Linked DNA regions of Oryctolagus cuniculus. The main gene of each other region encodes a partner of the protein of the gene in region 4 in a complex. Links are inferred from orthologs where the notes say so. Each region holds a gene or a part of one and is shown on either strand. Other genes may lie near its edges.

What was found.
Region 1: the proteins of SART3 (region 4) and USP4 are in contact, whole or in part, in a crystal structure (PDB 5CTR), measured with the Homo sapiens proteins. The link is inferred for Oryctolagus cuniculus from reciprocal best matches to the Homo sapiens genes SART3 and USP4. Residues at the interface, in NP_055521.1 of Homo sapiens: Asp437, Ser438, Ser439, Lys440, Gln490, Arg493, Glu494, Trp496, Asp497, Met500, Thr501, Ala505, Trp511, Tyr514, Lys529, Arg533, Cys537; in NP_003354.2 of Homo sapiens: Met24, Thr27, Leu28, Ser53, Trp54, Glu123, Gly125, Leu126, Phe127, Val128, Lys129, His130, Cys131, Lys132.
Region 2: SART3 (region 4) and CCNT1 share a complex: the UniProt entries of both Homo sapiens proteins name them as parts of the 7SK snRNP complex. The link is inferred for Oryctolagus cuniculus from reciprocal best matches to the Homo sapiens genes SART3 and CCNT1.
Region 3: the proteins of SART3 (region 4) and USP15 are in contact, whole or in part, in a crystal structure (PDB 5JJW), measured with the Homo sapiens proteins. The link is inferred for Oryctolagus cuniculus from reciprocal best matches to the Homo sapiens genes SART3 and USP15. Residues at the interface, in NP_055521.1 of Homo sapiens: Ser438, Ser439, Lys440, Glu443, Gln490, Arg493, Glu494, Trp496, Asp497, Met500, Thr501, Ala505, Trp511, Tyr514, Arg533, Cys537; in NP_001239007.1 of Homo sapiens: Ser23, Leu24, Asp48, Trp50, Gly121, Met122, Phe123, Val124, Lys125, His126, Lys128.

What each region holds. Positions count from the first base shown.
Region 1 is NC_091441.1:99,905,971-99,909,530, reverse strand, and holds part of USP4 (ubiquitin carboxyl-terminal hydrolase 4), read right to left. Parts: intron 3,300-3,560; coding exon 3,169-3,299; intron 318-3,168; coding exon 191-317; intron 1-190.
Region 2 is NC_091442.1:52,212,598-52,216,705, forward strand, and holds the start of CCNT1 (cyclin-T1), read right to left. Parts: upstream 2,801-4,108; 5' UTR 2,664-2,800; coding exon 2,503-2,663; intron 907-2,502; coding exon 825-906; intron 1-824. UniProt on the Homo sapiens protein: Regulatory subunit of the cyclin-dependent kinase pair (CDK9/cyclin-T1) complex, also called positive transcription elongation factor B (P-TEFb), which facilitates the transition from abortive to productive elongation by phosphorylating the CTD (C-terminal domain) of the large subunit of RNA polymerase II (RNA Pol II).
Region 3 is NC_091442.1:64,569,329-64,573,460, reverse strand, and holds the start of USP15 (ubiquitin carboxyl-terminal hydrolase 15), read right to left. Parts: upstream 2,860-4,132; 5' UTR 2,810-2,859; coding exon 2,721-2,809; intron 1-2,720. UniProt on the Homo sapiens protein: Hydrolase that removes conjugated ubiquitin from target proteins and regulates various pathways such as the TGF-beta receptor signaling, NF-kappa-B and RNF41/NRDP1-PRKN pathways.
Region 4 is NC_091452.1:17,726,392-17,729,951, forward strand, and holds the end of SART3 (squamous cell carcinoma antigen recognized by T-cells 3), read right to left. Parts: intron 3,464-3,560; coding exon 3,311-3,463; intron 2,218-3,310; coding exon 2,027-2,217; intron 1,420-2,026; coding exon 1,242-1,419; 3' UTR 539-1,241; downstream 1-538. UniProt on the Homo sapiens protein: U6 snRNP-binding protein that functions as a recycling factor of the splicing machinery. Promotes the initial reassembly of U4 and U6 snRNPs following their ejection from the spliceosome during its maturation.

The DNA.
Region 1 (3,560 bases), on a different chromosome or scaffold from region 4:
ATGGCAAATGGGCAAAGATTATACCTGCTGCCCTTCAGAACCTGATTCCCAAGCTTGAGGAACAGGCTCCTAGGTCAGGACTGGCAGCCGCAGCCCAAGAAGTCTAAAGAGGGCACCCCAACGTCCCTTCCACCCGCCACAATGTCCTGCAGTCTCTCCCCACACCCCAGGACCCCGCTCTGCTGCTCACCAATGGTGTCTGCCTTGCTGAAATGGCAACTCAGCACATTCGTGGGGTCACTGTTCTCACAAAGCTTCAGTTCCAGCAAATACACCTCCACTTTGCAGTGCTTGACAAACAGGCCATGCTCCACAACCTGGAACAGGCAGGGGAGGGAGCAGGGGCTGGATGCAAGGGCAGTCCAGGAAGCAGCGTGTTTCATCAACAGCAAAAAGCAGGTACTTCATGAAATCACTTTCCTTCAATGCTCAGCAGACTAGAAGTAGTTTTTGTTTGTTTAGTTTTAAATTTGAGAGACCAGAAAAAACAACTGAGAGGAAAGGGGAACAGATAGAGAGCTCCCACCCACTGGTTCACTCTCCAAATACCCACAGTCACCTGGCTGGTACTAAGACTGAATCCTGGAGCTTGGTCCCCCATGTTGGGGGACAGGACGGGCACCTTGATCAGCACATTAACTGATAAGCTAAACATCTCCCCCAGAAGTACAAAGTTTTAAAGCCTTCAGCACCTACCCCAGGAGTCTAAAAATCTCGTTCCAGGTAGTAGCATGTAACATAGTGGTTCAAGCAAGTCTCAGTTCTGGTTCCTGACCCCAGCTTCCTGCTAACGCAGACCCTGGGAGAGAGCAGCAATAGCTCAAGTAATTGGGTTCCTGCCACCGACGTGGGAGACCTGGATTGCATTCTCGGCTCCCAGCTTTGGCCCTACACCAGCTCTGGCCACTGGGTGGGAGCTCTTTATATATAAGTATGTCTCTCAAATAAATTAAAAACCTTTCTTCCATACTTTCAGCACCAGTGAAAGGCACCTCGACGGAACCAGAGACAACCCTTTCCTCACTGGATTTAACGCGATACCAGGGCTCCCAGGCAGGTCTCAAGAAGTCTTCTTTGAACAGAGAAGTCTTGTTTTTTTTTTTACTTTTCTGTGTTTTTGTTTGTTTGTATTTATTTATTTATTTGAAAGAGTTACAGAGAAAGAGAGGGAAAGACAAGAGCGGTTTTCCATCCACTGGTTCACACCCCAAGTGGCCTCAATGGCTAGGAATGAGCCAGGCCCAAGCCAGGGGCCAGGAGCTTCATCAGGGTCTCCCACGTGGGTGGCATGGGCCCAAGCACTTGGGTCATCTTCAGCTGCTTTTCCCATGGAGAAAGGCAGGGAAATGGGTCAGAAGCAAAGCACCAGGACTGGAACTGACACCCATATGGGATTACCAGTGTTGTGGGTGGCAGCTTTACCTGCTACGCCACAACATCAGCCCCAGAAAGGTCTTACTTAAGACTTGCAAGGGGCCAGCGCTGTGGCACAGTGGGTTAACACCCTGGCCTGGAGCACCGGCATCCGATATGGGTGCCGGTTCGAGATCTGGCTGCTCTACTTCCAATCCAGCTCCCTGCTATGGCCTGGGAAAGCAGTAGAAGATGGCCCAAGTCCTTGGGCCCCTGCACCCGTGTGGGAGACCTGGAGGAAGCACCTGGCTCCTGCCTTCGGATCAACGCAGCTCCAGCCTTTGCAGCCATCTGGGGAGTGAACCAGCAAATGGAAGACCTCTCTCTCTGTCTCTACCTCTTTCTTTAACTCCGTCTTCAAATAAATAAAATAAATCTTTAAAAAAAAAAAGTGTTGGCAAAAGTAAACTCTACTCTTTCCCCTCAAAATACATGGGCATGTATTTTACATTCTTACTATAGAGAATTACTTTGCATATCTACAACATGGCACTGGTACAGCCACGAGACGGTCATGACACAAAATTCAAAAGTTAATTAACAAATTCAGAAATAATGACAAAGAATAACCCTGCCCGTAAGCCCAGACACTGCACAAAAGGGAAGTCATCACTCATCTCTGAGCGAGGATCAATGGACCCTCCTTGCAGGAGGCTCAGGGAACACAGGTGCAGCACTAGGCAGAGCGCTCGCAAGGCAGCACTGAGGGAAGCAGGGGGTTTCTGCTAGTGCCTGGCATTTCTGACTCCTCCTCGCTCCCAGGCTTCCAGGTTTTAAGCTGGAAAGAAACGCAGTTCTGGTCCTGAACTGTGACATCAGAAGCATGGTCTCAGAATTGTAGCTTTTTCCTCCTCTGTTAAGAATGGGAAACAGGACAGGTATTCAGCCCCAGCGTCAAGCTGCCAGTGGGGCACCTGTCCCCGCCTCAGAGAGCTCGAGTTGGAGTCCCTGCTCTGTTCCTGAATCCAATTTTCTGTTTTATGGACCCTGGAAGGTACTGGTTATGGCTCAAGTGATGAGGTTCCTGCCACACGCACGGGAAACCTGGACTGAGTTCCTGGCTCCCAGCTTCAGCCCCTGGCCTGTGGCTACTGCAGGGATTTGGGGAGTGAACCAATAGATGGAAGTGTGCGCTCTCTCTTGCTCTTTTCTCTCTGCCTCTCAAATAATTTCTTTAAAGTTTTATTTAAAAAAATTAAAAACCGGAAAATGTATCCAGAGCCTAAATATCAGCAGGCACGTGGGCTCCTGTGATTTCTCTCTGGTGTAAGCAGCACAAGCGCTGTGGGAGACAGGGTGGTGGTGTCCTCCCGAGTCCCATCTATCACAGGCACTAACAACCCAGGTTCTGTCCCAAGCCGCCTTTCCCTCAGGTTATTCCTCTCTGGGCAGTAAATGCCTGCATTTTTAATTATTCAACAGTGCGGCCAAAGACTCCTAACAGCGGGGAAACGAGCAGTGCACTGTATGTCCCCGTGTCCCCAGTGAACACCTCCTCAGGAAGCCCTCCAGAAGGCGCACTCACAGCACTGGGCAGCTCTGATGTCCTGAGCCCATTCGCAGTCCTACCCTGGGCGAGCAGCCTCTCTCACCATCATTCACAATAATTCCCAGAAGAGAAACAAATACAAGACGCCACCCCCTTCTCCCAGCCCCTTTGGTGCACGCGTCTTCCTAGGGAACCAGGAGCAGCCAGTGTCCCCCCAGGAGCAGCGGCAGACGCCACGCAGCACGTGTGACGACCCATGGACTCACTTTTCGCACAATGGGCTGCTGACCTTCTACACAGCCATACCAGTTTAGTAATTTATTCCAGGCCTCAGTTGGAACCAATACGTAGTCCAATTCATCAATTAAGTGTTCTTTCAAGGTCTGACTCTCAGGATCTGAAAAAGGAAAACAGCACATAACTCACTGTTGTCCCTCTCCCACCAACGATTTTTAAATGATTTTCATGCATTTTTCAGAAACAAAAGAAGTATTTACAGGAACAAGTGCAAAATTCCAAATGTCTGTCACTGGCCGTAACACAGAGCAGACTTGTACTGCTCTCTGTCCTTAGCCATGTTTTCTGAACATTTGAAGGAAATCATATTTCTTCTATAATTGGAGGCAGCACAGGACAACAGAGAAAAATGCCAATTTGG
Region 2 (4,108 bases), on a different chromosome or scaffold from region 4:
GATTCTGCCCATTTCTTACTTTACAGGAGCTATATCTAGCTTCACAAACTCTCTTCCAAGAGCTTAAAAAAAAAAAGCTCAAAACCATCATCCCAAAGTAAAGCCTAAAACAAATTTATTCAAAAGCATAACCTTTTTCTTTTTACAAAATAATGAAATCTCTGATGAGCAAACCATATAAAGTGTTCCTCAAGCTTATCACCATTACCTTGGAATGTTTTCAAAACAAATACAGCCTTAGTGGACTACCACTATGCATTCACTTCCAAGCTACTTATAATAATCTTAAATAGGACCATTTCAGTTAGCAAAACTGAAAGTAGCATAATTTACAATCTGTCCAGGAGGGAAAAAAAGGTCTTTTACTGCTAACATCTTCTTTGTTCTGTTCTTAAAATTCATTTCTCGAGGCATTACCACATTTTGTACATTCCAGATCCTCTGGGCATTGATTGGAGTTTTGTAAAAGGCTTGTGAAAATCTAAATTACTTATATTCATTTGCTTTCCTGTGACATTATTTTGCCACTTTGAACGCTCTACTGAAATATGATTTCCACTTTAATGCCATCCCCCACAAAAACATCTTTACACGTTTGATAATCTATTTCATTACTAGAGAACCTACCTACTGTAAGGGTGCAGAAAACTACATTTCATAGGAAAATGGGAAAGCTGTATTCATAGCAACAGTGTGACACAGAATGAAAGTGAGCAGCAGAGTTCTCAAGTTCAAATCCCAGCTCAGTGGCAAAGACCAACCTGAAGAAACAGGTATGTAGAAGACTCACGAAGCGAACACCACATAAGAAAAGTCATACTCACATTTCGATGAAACTGAGTGAAGGATTGGATCATGTAGAATCGATGCACATATACTATAGCGGTGTTGATGGTCAGTTGCGAGCTGAAGTGCTCCAGTGAAGGCAAAAACAAGCAGGATACTTCCAGAAAACATAACATCTGGCCCCTTCCAGAAAGACCAGAAGACCAAGCATGATAGATGCCCTTAAAGGAAAACCTACTTACCTCTCCAAATCAGAAAGCAGCCCATTCTCCTCCGCCAAATTATTAACTGCCAACTGGCACTGACCACAATGCCTTCCACATTTACTTACACAAGTACTCACTACAAATTCACCGAATTACTAAGTTTCTCGGGCTGTGTGGCTCAATATGGCTTATAAACAAAACTATGTAATGAGCTCTTAAATGCTTTCACTCACCTTCTGAACACCCTGCAAAGATGATGCATTAGCTCGGGGTATCTCTTTAATCATCATTTACAAGGTCCTCCCTGATGCAGCCATAGCCCTGGGGAATATGTCACCACTATCTCCCTCAGCTTCTACACCCCAGCAATTAAGTTTACAGTTCCACCTCTCTCTGGTCACAGAGCAACCCCTGGGACTACCATTTTTCAAAAGGCCTGATATTCATTCGCTGAAAATAAAACTGTTTTCATGTCTTACATCTTAAGGCCGTCCCAAACAACATGAGATACAGAAATGTCACTTAGCAACAAGGTGAATAACACACATATAAAAAGTTTCAAGGATACACTGAAAACCGGATCTCAGACAACATGATTTAGCTCTGTACAGATCAGATGCTTAGGAAACAAATTTGATACGGAAAACAGGCTGGCAACAGAGGGCAACCCCTGCATTTCAGACTGGGCGCACCCCCACAAACACGACCAATTACATGGAAGCTGCACTTCAGAAAAAAGTTTTCAGCCCACGACAGAAGCAGCTTGAAAACGACATTCTTCCCTCCGACGCAAAACAAACGTCTTCCGACAAGCAAATACATTCGGGCGGAAAAACAAAGCACGGAATTCGCTCAATTTTGAATTACGAAAGGAACGAATACACACTCAAACTCGGCGTAGCGTTAAGCACCCAGAATCTCGCAAACGGTGGGAAACATGAGATCCACAGCTCTACGCATCCCCTACACACCTAATCTGCCATCTTTTCCTTCCTCAGAACTTCTAACAGCGCCCCCTTCGACGTCTGGCCCCCAAGCACCGTGGTGGACACGGAACCGAGGCGGGCCAGGACGGAGGAAGCCTCTGACCAAGTTAAATCAGCACGCGGGAGTCACAGATTCGGAACCACTGCTTGGACACGAATTCTAAGCCACCTGTGCAAGGCTTTCGGGTACTGAATCGCTAACACGCCGAGTTTAAGGGGGACAGGCGTCAACAGTGAACCCTCCACCAGACCCCGAGGGCGTAAGGGAAAGAACAAGCTCAAAGGCAGCCGGCAGACCACGAGAACCGGTGGAAACACAAAGCCGGGAAGGGCCTGCATTCCCGGCAAGGGTGAGCAAGCGGGAAACGAACTCCGCCTCGCTGCCCTGGCGCCAACCCCGACTTTCAACCCGCCCCGCGGCGCGCTCGCTCACCTAGCGCTCCGGCTCCTGCCCACCTCCCGTCCCCGCCCCGAGCCCGGCCGGCACCGACTCCCAGGCCCGAAGGCCTAGGCCGCAAGGATACACGAAAAGACGTTGACCCATGTCCTGAAGCAGATTGGCCGCCTGCTGGCGATAAGAAAGTTCCTTATCGGGGTCCAGGCCACACCGGCGGGATGGGCTGTTCTCCAGCTGTTCTCGAGTAAAATACCACCGCTTGTTGCTGTTCTTCCTCTCTCCCTCCATAGTGCTACAACCAGAAGGCAGCAGCAGAGGCTGCGAGCACTTCCCAGCGTCACCTACGCGGCGACACACATCCGCCGTGCGGGGGCAACTGCGACGTGACGAGTTTCCGCTAGGATTCGACGGCCGGCTTTGTGACACGCTTCCGCCGACGAAGCGGAAGTCTGAGCGCCCACTTCCGGAATGGCCCTCGCGACGCTCCGTAGCCGGCTGTGCAGCTTGCGTACCGCCAGGAAAGACCTTGAAGAGAGGGCGCAGGCGCCGGTCACGTGACCCCACCCCCACCCCACGCGCCGAGTAGGGCGGAGTCATACGTTTACGTTTAAAAACCGCGTCTCTTCCCGCGAGAACTGAGCTCGCGATGGTTGTTTGCGGGGGGGAGGGGGGTGCTGCGAGGCAGTTCCTGGGACTATTATGGTGGCGGCTCACGGCCACGTGCCGCTTGGTGGGTCCTACGAGAACTTTGCTCCTGGCTGAAGTGGCGACGTAAAATGGGACGGTGGCAGAGCTTTGTAGAATAGGTGAGAAGCGAAGAGCGTAGCCGCTATCGTACCGCGGAGATGTAAAGCCAGCAGAGGCGGGCTTTTTTTTTTTTTTTGACAGGCAGAGTGGATAGTGAGACAGAGAGACAGAGAGAAAGGTCTTCCTTTGCTGTTGGTTTACCCTCCAATGGCCGGCGCACCGCGCTGATCCGATGGCAGGAGCCAGGTACTTCTGGTCTCCCATGGGGTGCAGGGCCCAAGCACTTGGGCCATCCTCCACTGCACTCCCGGGCCACAGCAGAGAGCTGGCCTGGAAGAGGAGTAACAGGGACAGAATCCAGCACCCTGACCAGGACTAGAACCCGGGGTGCCGGCGCCGCAAGGCGGAGGATTAGCCTAGTGAGCCGCGGCCGGCCTGAGGCGGGCTTTTTTTAATATTGCTGGTGGGTGCCGAGCACTGCCACTCGTTTGAACATCCCCCTCCTAATAAGTAGCCCAAACCCGTGAGAACAGGAGCAGTGGTGCCCCGGGAAGGTGTAGCGTGAAGTTAGCAGCACTCACTCAGTGCTTGCAGGTCCCGAGCACGATGCTGACGTCTCCGTGTACCGTATGCCTTCGTCATCGTCATTCTTAGTAATATTTAATTCCCGTGTGCAGAAGGTTTCAAGCGGCACCCCTCGAGGCGGGAGGCTCCCACCACCACCCGCCATGGGCGCAAACTTGGGCCTTCCTGTCTCGTGGTGAAGTGGCTCCGACGTCTTGATGCTGGGCAAGATGCCTCATTTCTGACTCTTAAAATATGCAATTGTTAGTACCTACGTTTTAAGTATCAGGTTGTGAACGGCAGTAAATGAGAATTTTTTTTTTTTTTTTTTTGACAGGCAGAGTGGACAGTGAGAGAGAGAGAGAGAAAGGTCTTCCTTTGCCGTTGGTTCACCCTCCAATGGCCGCCACGGCCGGCGCACC
Region 3 (4,132 bases), on a different chromosome or scaffold from region 4:
ATTTCCATAACACTGGAGAAAATGAAGTGGTGATTTTGATGATGTATAGTTACTTGTTTATTGGCTCATAATAGGTCTATTTTAAAAGAAATCTCCAAAGACAGAATTCCACAACTCAAAACTTTCTTTGTAAATCATTCATCTACCATTTTTAATAGACTGCCAAAATACTTACATGTAATGTACTTTAAACAAATTCTTTTTGTCTCATCATGAGAAATCACTATGTATCTCCAAGCTGTCTTTCATTTATCCTTAGCCAGACAATTCTTTATCTTTTTCCTATAGTTCCTAAATTCTACCTTAATCCTGTCCTTAATTTTTTGAATCTCTTGTTGGAAGTGAAACATACATCAACAAATAACATTATTAGACTAGTGCTTTATTACTTCTTACCCTGATAAGTGTTACTTTTCTATCTCACCTTTTTAAGAGGAATAACTTTCTTGCAGCTACTTTGAATTACTTCTCACTATAAAATCTAGTACCAAAGTATGTTCCTCGTCATCTCAGATTTCTGTAACTTATTTTCATCTGCTAATAAAAATCACTCACTGCTTATAAATTAACAGAAACTCTAGTAAGCACCCAAAATCAAATAAATCTTAATACCTGCCAAGGTATTTAGTTACCAGAGTACTATGAGACTACGCTAAAAAGCTAACGAATAAAATTCACTCGTTTTAATGTATTTGACTATAACTCCAGGCATCTCTATTAAAGCTTAAGAATAAACTATTTTTTCTCTCAATAGCCCAATCAGTGTTTCTGAAATGGTTATATATACGTGCCAAGACAATGTTCCATTTGCATATGGCTGGTTTCAGCTCTAAAATAGGGCAGGTTTTGCTAAAGTACCCATAAAAGACAAACTCAAAAATTAAATATACACCAAACAACCTAGTAATTATTCAATATCACTACCAGTACTTTATTCGTGAGTTCACTATCAAATCTGTACCAAATTACTCTCCTTAAAACTCTGAATCAGACTTTTGCTCTACAAGGCTCCCTTTTTAACAGATTTCACCTGCTAATTTGCAAGTAAACTGCCTCACATATAAACCACACTGGCTTCTACAATTCCCCAATACTATCCTGCACCTGCAATTTTTCCCCCTTTAAGTAAAATAGAAAAATTAACAAGAGGAAAACACAAGTCTGCCATTGGCTAAGTATCTCTTTCTCAGTTTCCTTTTCTTTAAAATGAAAGGAAATGACAAATTTATAGACTTCCTCTATGTATTCTTTACAATATATCTTTTAAATGATTTACAGTAACATTGAAAATGCAAAAACTATTTTGCATAATGCAACAAGTATATATTTACACTATTAGAGGTTTTTCATACAACAGTATATGTATCCTTCCAAACTAGGGAAAAAGTACTAAGACTTATATCAAAGTACCTAAATTCAGTTCCTAAGTATGTCACTTGTTAACTTATTTGAAAACAATTACAATATGACAGCATTTTGTTAGGAGTATATGGCAGAGATAAAGAACTAAAATGTAACAGCTCATAAATATCAAACCTTTTGGGATATTTAACTGAATCAACATAAAGCCCCTATAATAAAAATTATTGTCCATTTTACAGATGAAGATATGGAGATGCAAAATGGTTTAAATGAACTTGCTTCAAAGTCACACAGCAAGTGGTGAAACCGTGAAAATAACTGAGGTCTCTAAATCCTATCCCCCCTCCAGGAAGCCATCATTCAAGAAAACACTCCGCCAATTACATACCACCATTAGGGTGACGGTGGGAAGGAAAAACAATTTAATCAAGTGGCACGCTACTCTTCCTCCAAAACACAGCGCTTTCTCTTTCTGTTACCCAAACCATATCCTTAAGTTATTCTGGATGCCACTTGCTATGGCCGAAAGCATGAAAATCTACACATAACTTCCTCCGGTATTTTAAGTGTACCATATCCTTTGGTATTTTACAAGTTTGACTACGAGCGAGTTCCTGAAGGCTCAAGTGGACTTATCTACTTTCTGCAGGCCTACGTTATCCTTCAAACAGGAGGGAAGGGCTGCAATTCTAACCGAAACGCTGCCGGTTTCTATCAAGCCTCCGCTCAAGCACAAGACCACGTGGTCCCTCTCTCAAGCCTAAGGCTCCCTACCTTCTCCCTCCCTTTTTTTTTTTTATTTTTTAATTTTCTGACAAGGAACTGGAAAACTAGGGTTTCTTTTTCTCGAGTGGAGCCGTAGCACATGCCACCTGTGTAAGTACCGACCGCAAACATCCTGCAGCCTGTCTCCCGGAAGACTGCAAGAATCGGAAGAATGGGGAACTTGGATGCCGACAATGCCGGGGAAAGAAGTGACTGGGGAAGTAGCGTGGGGGAGACCGTGACAAGCCGCGGGACCCAGACCTGTCAACCCCGAGGAAGACTCGCGCCGAACGACTGAAACCTATCACTCGGGCAGGCCTGAGGTGGGAGCGGCACTACGGGAGCAACAAGGACCCAGAGACCCCCACGAGCCGCCGCCGGCGTCCCCGGCATACCTCTCAGCGTGCCTAAGCAAGTCTGGAACGCCGGCCCTCAGGTCCAGTCCAACCTTTGCCCCAAAATCCTGCTGCCCAGGGCGGCCGCAGCCGGACCTGCCCGCACCTGTCACTCGCGAAAGACACTAGCCTGCGGTTCCCGCCCTGTTCTCCACCACCCGCGCGCATCCGCGGCCACCTCAACCCCTTCCCCCTCACCAGGTGTCCCCTTTCCGGAGCGAGGTTTTGAGCAACGTCGCGATGTCAGACCGCTGGGTGTCCAAATCCGCCGCTCCGCCTTCCGCCATCTTCTTCCACTAGCGGCAGCGGAGGCGGCAGCGACGGCGGCGGCACGCCCCAGAGCATTGTGGGAATGGCGTCCACAGCCCCTCCCATTCGTCAGGTCGAAACCAAACGAGACGCGGAGGGGGGGTGGCCTCCGGACGAGAGGAGGCCTGGGGGCGGAGTGGGTGCTGGCCGCGGCCTGCAGCCCGCCTTCGGTCCCCGCCCGTTCAGCGCCTTGCCTCAGCTTCCTCCGGCCCGGGACAGCCGGGTTTTGACTCCCCTCGCTGAGGGCATGTGCTCTCTCTTCTCTCGCTGGAGCCCTGCCACTGCCCAGTCCATCCTCGAGTTTGCCTACCCCTCCCCTTTTCCCACAGAGGGCTGAAAACCCTTATTTGCGCATTCACTCGCTCCGGAGGGTGGGGTGGACAGGAGGGCGTGAGGATGGCTAAGACATGGCAGAAAACTGAGCAGCTCCGTGATTCTGCGCTTGTCCTTGCGAGTCGCAGAACCCAAGCTCAGTGGATAGTGGCCCCGAGAACAATCCGAAACCAAACGCCTCGCCCCAAAGACCTTAGGTTCCTGGCAGCACTTGCACTCGTGCTGTGGGTGGAGACCTGTAATAGGCTCTTTGTGACGCCTCCCCAGGCACACCCAGGCAACTAAGCTGCAGAGAAAAACAAGCCAGGGCTCCTTGGTGAATGAGGGGCGAACTGGCCTTTGAATAATGCCAGGGACTAAGCGGGGAGAAGAGCAGCATTCGCTTAGCCTCACTTTCCGATGGTGCTTACACCGGAGGTGAAGCCAGGTAACAACAGCTTCATTGGAAGCCAGTAATTAGGTTACAAATGGGGAAGTCGAGTCTCAAAAATCCAATGCCAAGGTCACACAGGTTCCAAAGCCCATATGCTAGCACCTTCACTACCTCTCCTTGTGAAAGCCTGAACTAAAATGTAAACTTCACAAGACTGCTGGAACTGGGCTAATATCTTAAAACCTCTTTACGCCTAGTGGCTGGCACAGTAATGACTAAGATGCAAAAAAAAAAAAAAAAAAAAAAAAAAAAAAAAAAAAAAAACCACCGAAATAGTTGTTTAATTGAATTATGCCAAAACTACTTAAGTACTTCCAAGCGTGAAGACGTCCGGAGATTTGACTTTAAAAATAACAATGATAGGAAAAGCCTAAAAGATGGATAGGAATGCCCACATAACCTCTCTCGTTCCCATGTTTTTAATGTCTGCTCCAACTCATTTGGAGGCCATGCAGAAAAGATGGGTGTGATTATGTTGTTAAGAAGTACTGAACCGTTCAGAAATGTAAGTGTATGTTGGTATGATGGTTGCTTG
Region 4 (3,560 bases):
TAAAAAGACTCCCTGGGGGCGCAGGCACTCAGCCCAGCGGTCAGGATGCCCAAGTCAGTCCTACAGCAGAGAACCTGGCTCCCGGCTCCCTACTCCTGCCAGTGCAGACCCTGGGAGTTGGCAGGCGATGGCTCGACAGACAGACAGCTGGCCGCCCAGACCCACCTGAGAGACTGACTGCATTCCCAGCCCCAACCCAGCCCCAGCCACTATGGGCCTGTAGGGATTGAATCAGAAGAGGGGAGGGCACTCGCGCTCTGCCTGTCAAATAATAAAAATACTGTCGAAGAAGAAGCTCGGTGCCTCTAGAACGTCAGCTTCCTTACTGAACTGGCAAGGCTGCTTCCAAAGCCGTAAGTCCCTGATAAAAGTGAGAGAGTTTAAAAACTCAAGCATCAAACTGAAGTTTACAACTGAAGATCCATCACAGCAGAAATAATTTAAATCAAAATGACCACGAGATTTGACTTAGAAAAGTTCTATTTATAGCTACAGGCCGCCCTGAGGAAGGGTTCTGAGCACCACTCAGCAAGAAGAGTTTAAGAGAACTTCTGTTTAATAAACAAAGCTAAACGGGGAGGACATGGTGTTTCAACAAAACCAAAGAGCTGAAACTCAGGGTTTAGACAAGAAAAGCCAGTCGGCAGGCAGAGGAAGTGGCCCGCGGCAGGTGGCACACGGCCTCCGGTACAGGTATAAAACAAACATCTGGATACTGCTTTTAGGAAACGAAACCACAGGCTGAGGTGTCATTTACAAACACAATAGAAAAACACACAGCCCCCGAACAAAAACCCACTGGACTTCTCCTACGTGGCCTCCCCTGCTCCCACCCCTTCCTAAAATAGGCCGTTCTGGTGAGTTACTAGCATTTGCCAGTCCATCTTTTAAAAATTAAAAGAGTGATGGGCACGTATACCGTGCAGGTGTGAGAGAAGTGACTTAGAAAAAGGGCTGGGGCCGGCTGGGAGCGTCGGGACGAGCGGGTCTCCACGCTGCCCCAGACCCAGCTGCTCCTCACTCGGGAAGACACCCATGTGCCTCAGGATGCCACGCCCTGAGCTCACGTTCCTGCCGTCGCCCTCAATGTGAGGGAGCACTGACGCCGCTTCACGGGGAACACTCCCCTTCTGTCTGACCCAGAGGAAAGCCCGTGGCCGTGGGTGGGCACTGGGCCAGTCCCTTCTGTCCCCGGAGTACTGGCCGGCGAGAAGGCCTTTCCCGTCTCCCGCAGAGTCCGCTCACTTTCTCAGAAGCAGCTTGGCGAAATCGGCATTGGACATCTTGGGCGCCTCTGTGGCCTCAGGGGCGGCGTTGGCAGGACGTGGGGCAGGGCCGTTCTCAGCCTGAGGAGTCCCGGCACCAGGGCGCTGCAGGGCACGAGGCAGCAGAGAGAGCTGGGTCCTGCCCTTCCCCCGCCTGCAAAAGCAAACACTGACTGTACACTTCAAAGCACTGACCCGCAACCCCCACGGTACCGTGAAGAAGAGCCAGGATCCTGCACATCACGCAAAGTTCATGATGAAAAATGAAAACCCACCAGAGGCGGCCTGTCCCTGTACCTGGCTGTTACTTAAAAGCCACTGCAGGAAGCTCTGCCTTCTTCATTAACTGGCCAGGACTGACTCTGAGCAAGTCACACTCTGGGGTGAGAAGTGGCTGTCACCTCCGAGACCTCTCCAACCACCCTGCAGCCTGGCTCCTGTCGGGCAGAAGACACGGCCTCTCTAGGGAGCGCAGCCGCAGGCTGGCAAGCTCGGGCATCAGGGGGCGGGTGACGTCATCAGTGCCGGTGAAACATCTGACCTTGGACCAGTGTCACCTGGCAAACACGAGGCAGGGCCCCGCTGCCTGGGCCTCCTTCTGGCCTGGACTCGCCCTGGACACCTTGCCCGGCAGAACCACGGGGTCATCGCCGGGATAGCAGGCCCATGTGCTCTTGTCCTAACTCCTCTTACCAACAGGGACCTAACTGTTGCCTCATCTAGCCCTTCATGGCCGGGCGCTGGCCAGCACAAACACTCACGCTCCGTATATCTGCCGCGGCACCAGGGGGCCACCCGGCGCTTTCCTGGCCTCCGGCTTCTCTGGAGCCTTCCTCTGAGGGGGGTTGCTGATCGCCACTTTGATGACGTTCTCTCTGATGGTCATGCCGTCCATCTTCATCACAGCCTGCGACGCCTGGGATTCGTTTTCGTACTCCACGTAGGCCAGGCCCTGGAAGAGACATGATCAGAGCCAGGTGAGCTGCCGCACACCCAGGAGCAGCTTCCTCCTCACTCTGCAACGCAGGCACCTCATCAACTGGCTCCCCTCCCCACGGCTGCCACCCTGTCCACAGCTTGACTTCCCTCCCTACTCCTGTCCTCCGCTGCCGGGAGTGACTGCAGCGCAGAGGAGCCAAGTTCAGATCACCTTGAGCTTGCTCCCCAAGAGAAAAATGAAAGTAACAATCAGACCAGCATAAGTCCAGCCAACAGACTGAGGAGGTGGGCTGGGGACAGACACCGGGGAGCAGCCCTGGTGCCCAGGGGAGCGCCGAGGTCTCTGCTCCTCCATGCCCGCCTTCCCGTCACACTCCTCAACTAACTCTTCATTTACCTGCATGGCTGGGCCGCGGGCAAGGGAGTGAGAGGGGGTCCAGAATCACGTCTCAACAGTAACTGCTGAAAGGTGGAGCAGAAAGGAGTGGGCCGCAGGGGAGGATGTGCTAAGGGGTCCACTCGAGGCCCCGAGGTGGCCCAGTGAGGGCCTCAGGAAGAGCAGCGGTAACCACAGCAGAGGGACCCCCTCCCCGAGGCCTCTAGCCAGGGGGCCACACTGCGGCGCTTAGGAATCTGTGATGAATTTAATTTCTAAATGCCTATTCCTCTGTAATACACACAGCTGCAAACAGTTTCACCTGACTCCGCATGGGGCGGGCGTCATGGAACAGCAAGTTAAACCACTGCTCAGAACACACCGGCACCCTACACCTGAGTGCCAATTTCAACTCGGGCTACTCTGCTTCCTGCTACCTTGCCCGGGAGGCAGCAATGGCCCAAACACCTGGGTCCCTGCCACCCACATGAGAGACCCAGATGGACTTCCTGACTTCGGCCTGACCAGCCATTTGGGGAATGAACCAGTAGATGGAAATCTTTCTCATTCTCTCCTCCTCTCCCAACCCTACTCTGTCACTCTGCTTTCCAAATACACAAATTAATCTTGAAAAAAGTATCTGCCTCCACAGGGAAGGAGACTCAGTGTGCATTCCTTGCCACTGAATCATCACGGGGAACCCACGCCAGAACGTGCGCCCCCCGCTGACCTTGGGCTTGCCGGCCCGGTTGGTGACCAGCCGGAGGTCCTTCACGGTGCCGTGAGCCTTGCAGATGTCCTCCAGCTCCTCTTTCGTGCAGGAGAAAGGCAGGCCCGAGATGAACAGCTTGTGTTTCTCCAGAGCGGTGCTGTACCTGAACACCTGCCGGAGGAGGGAGAGAAAAAGACGTGCTGTTCCGGCCGCGCCTGGCACGCCAGCCCCACAGGGCCAGCCCTGGGCAGGGAGCTCGCCCCTGCAG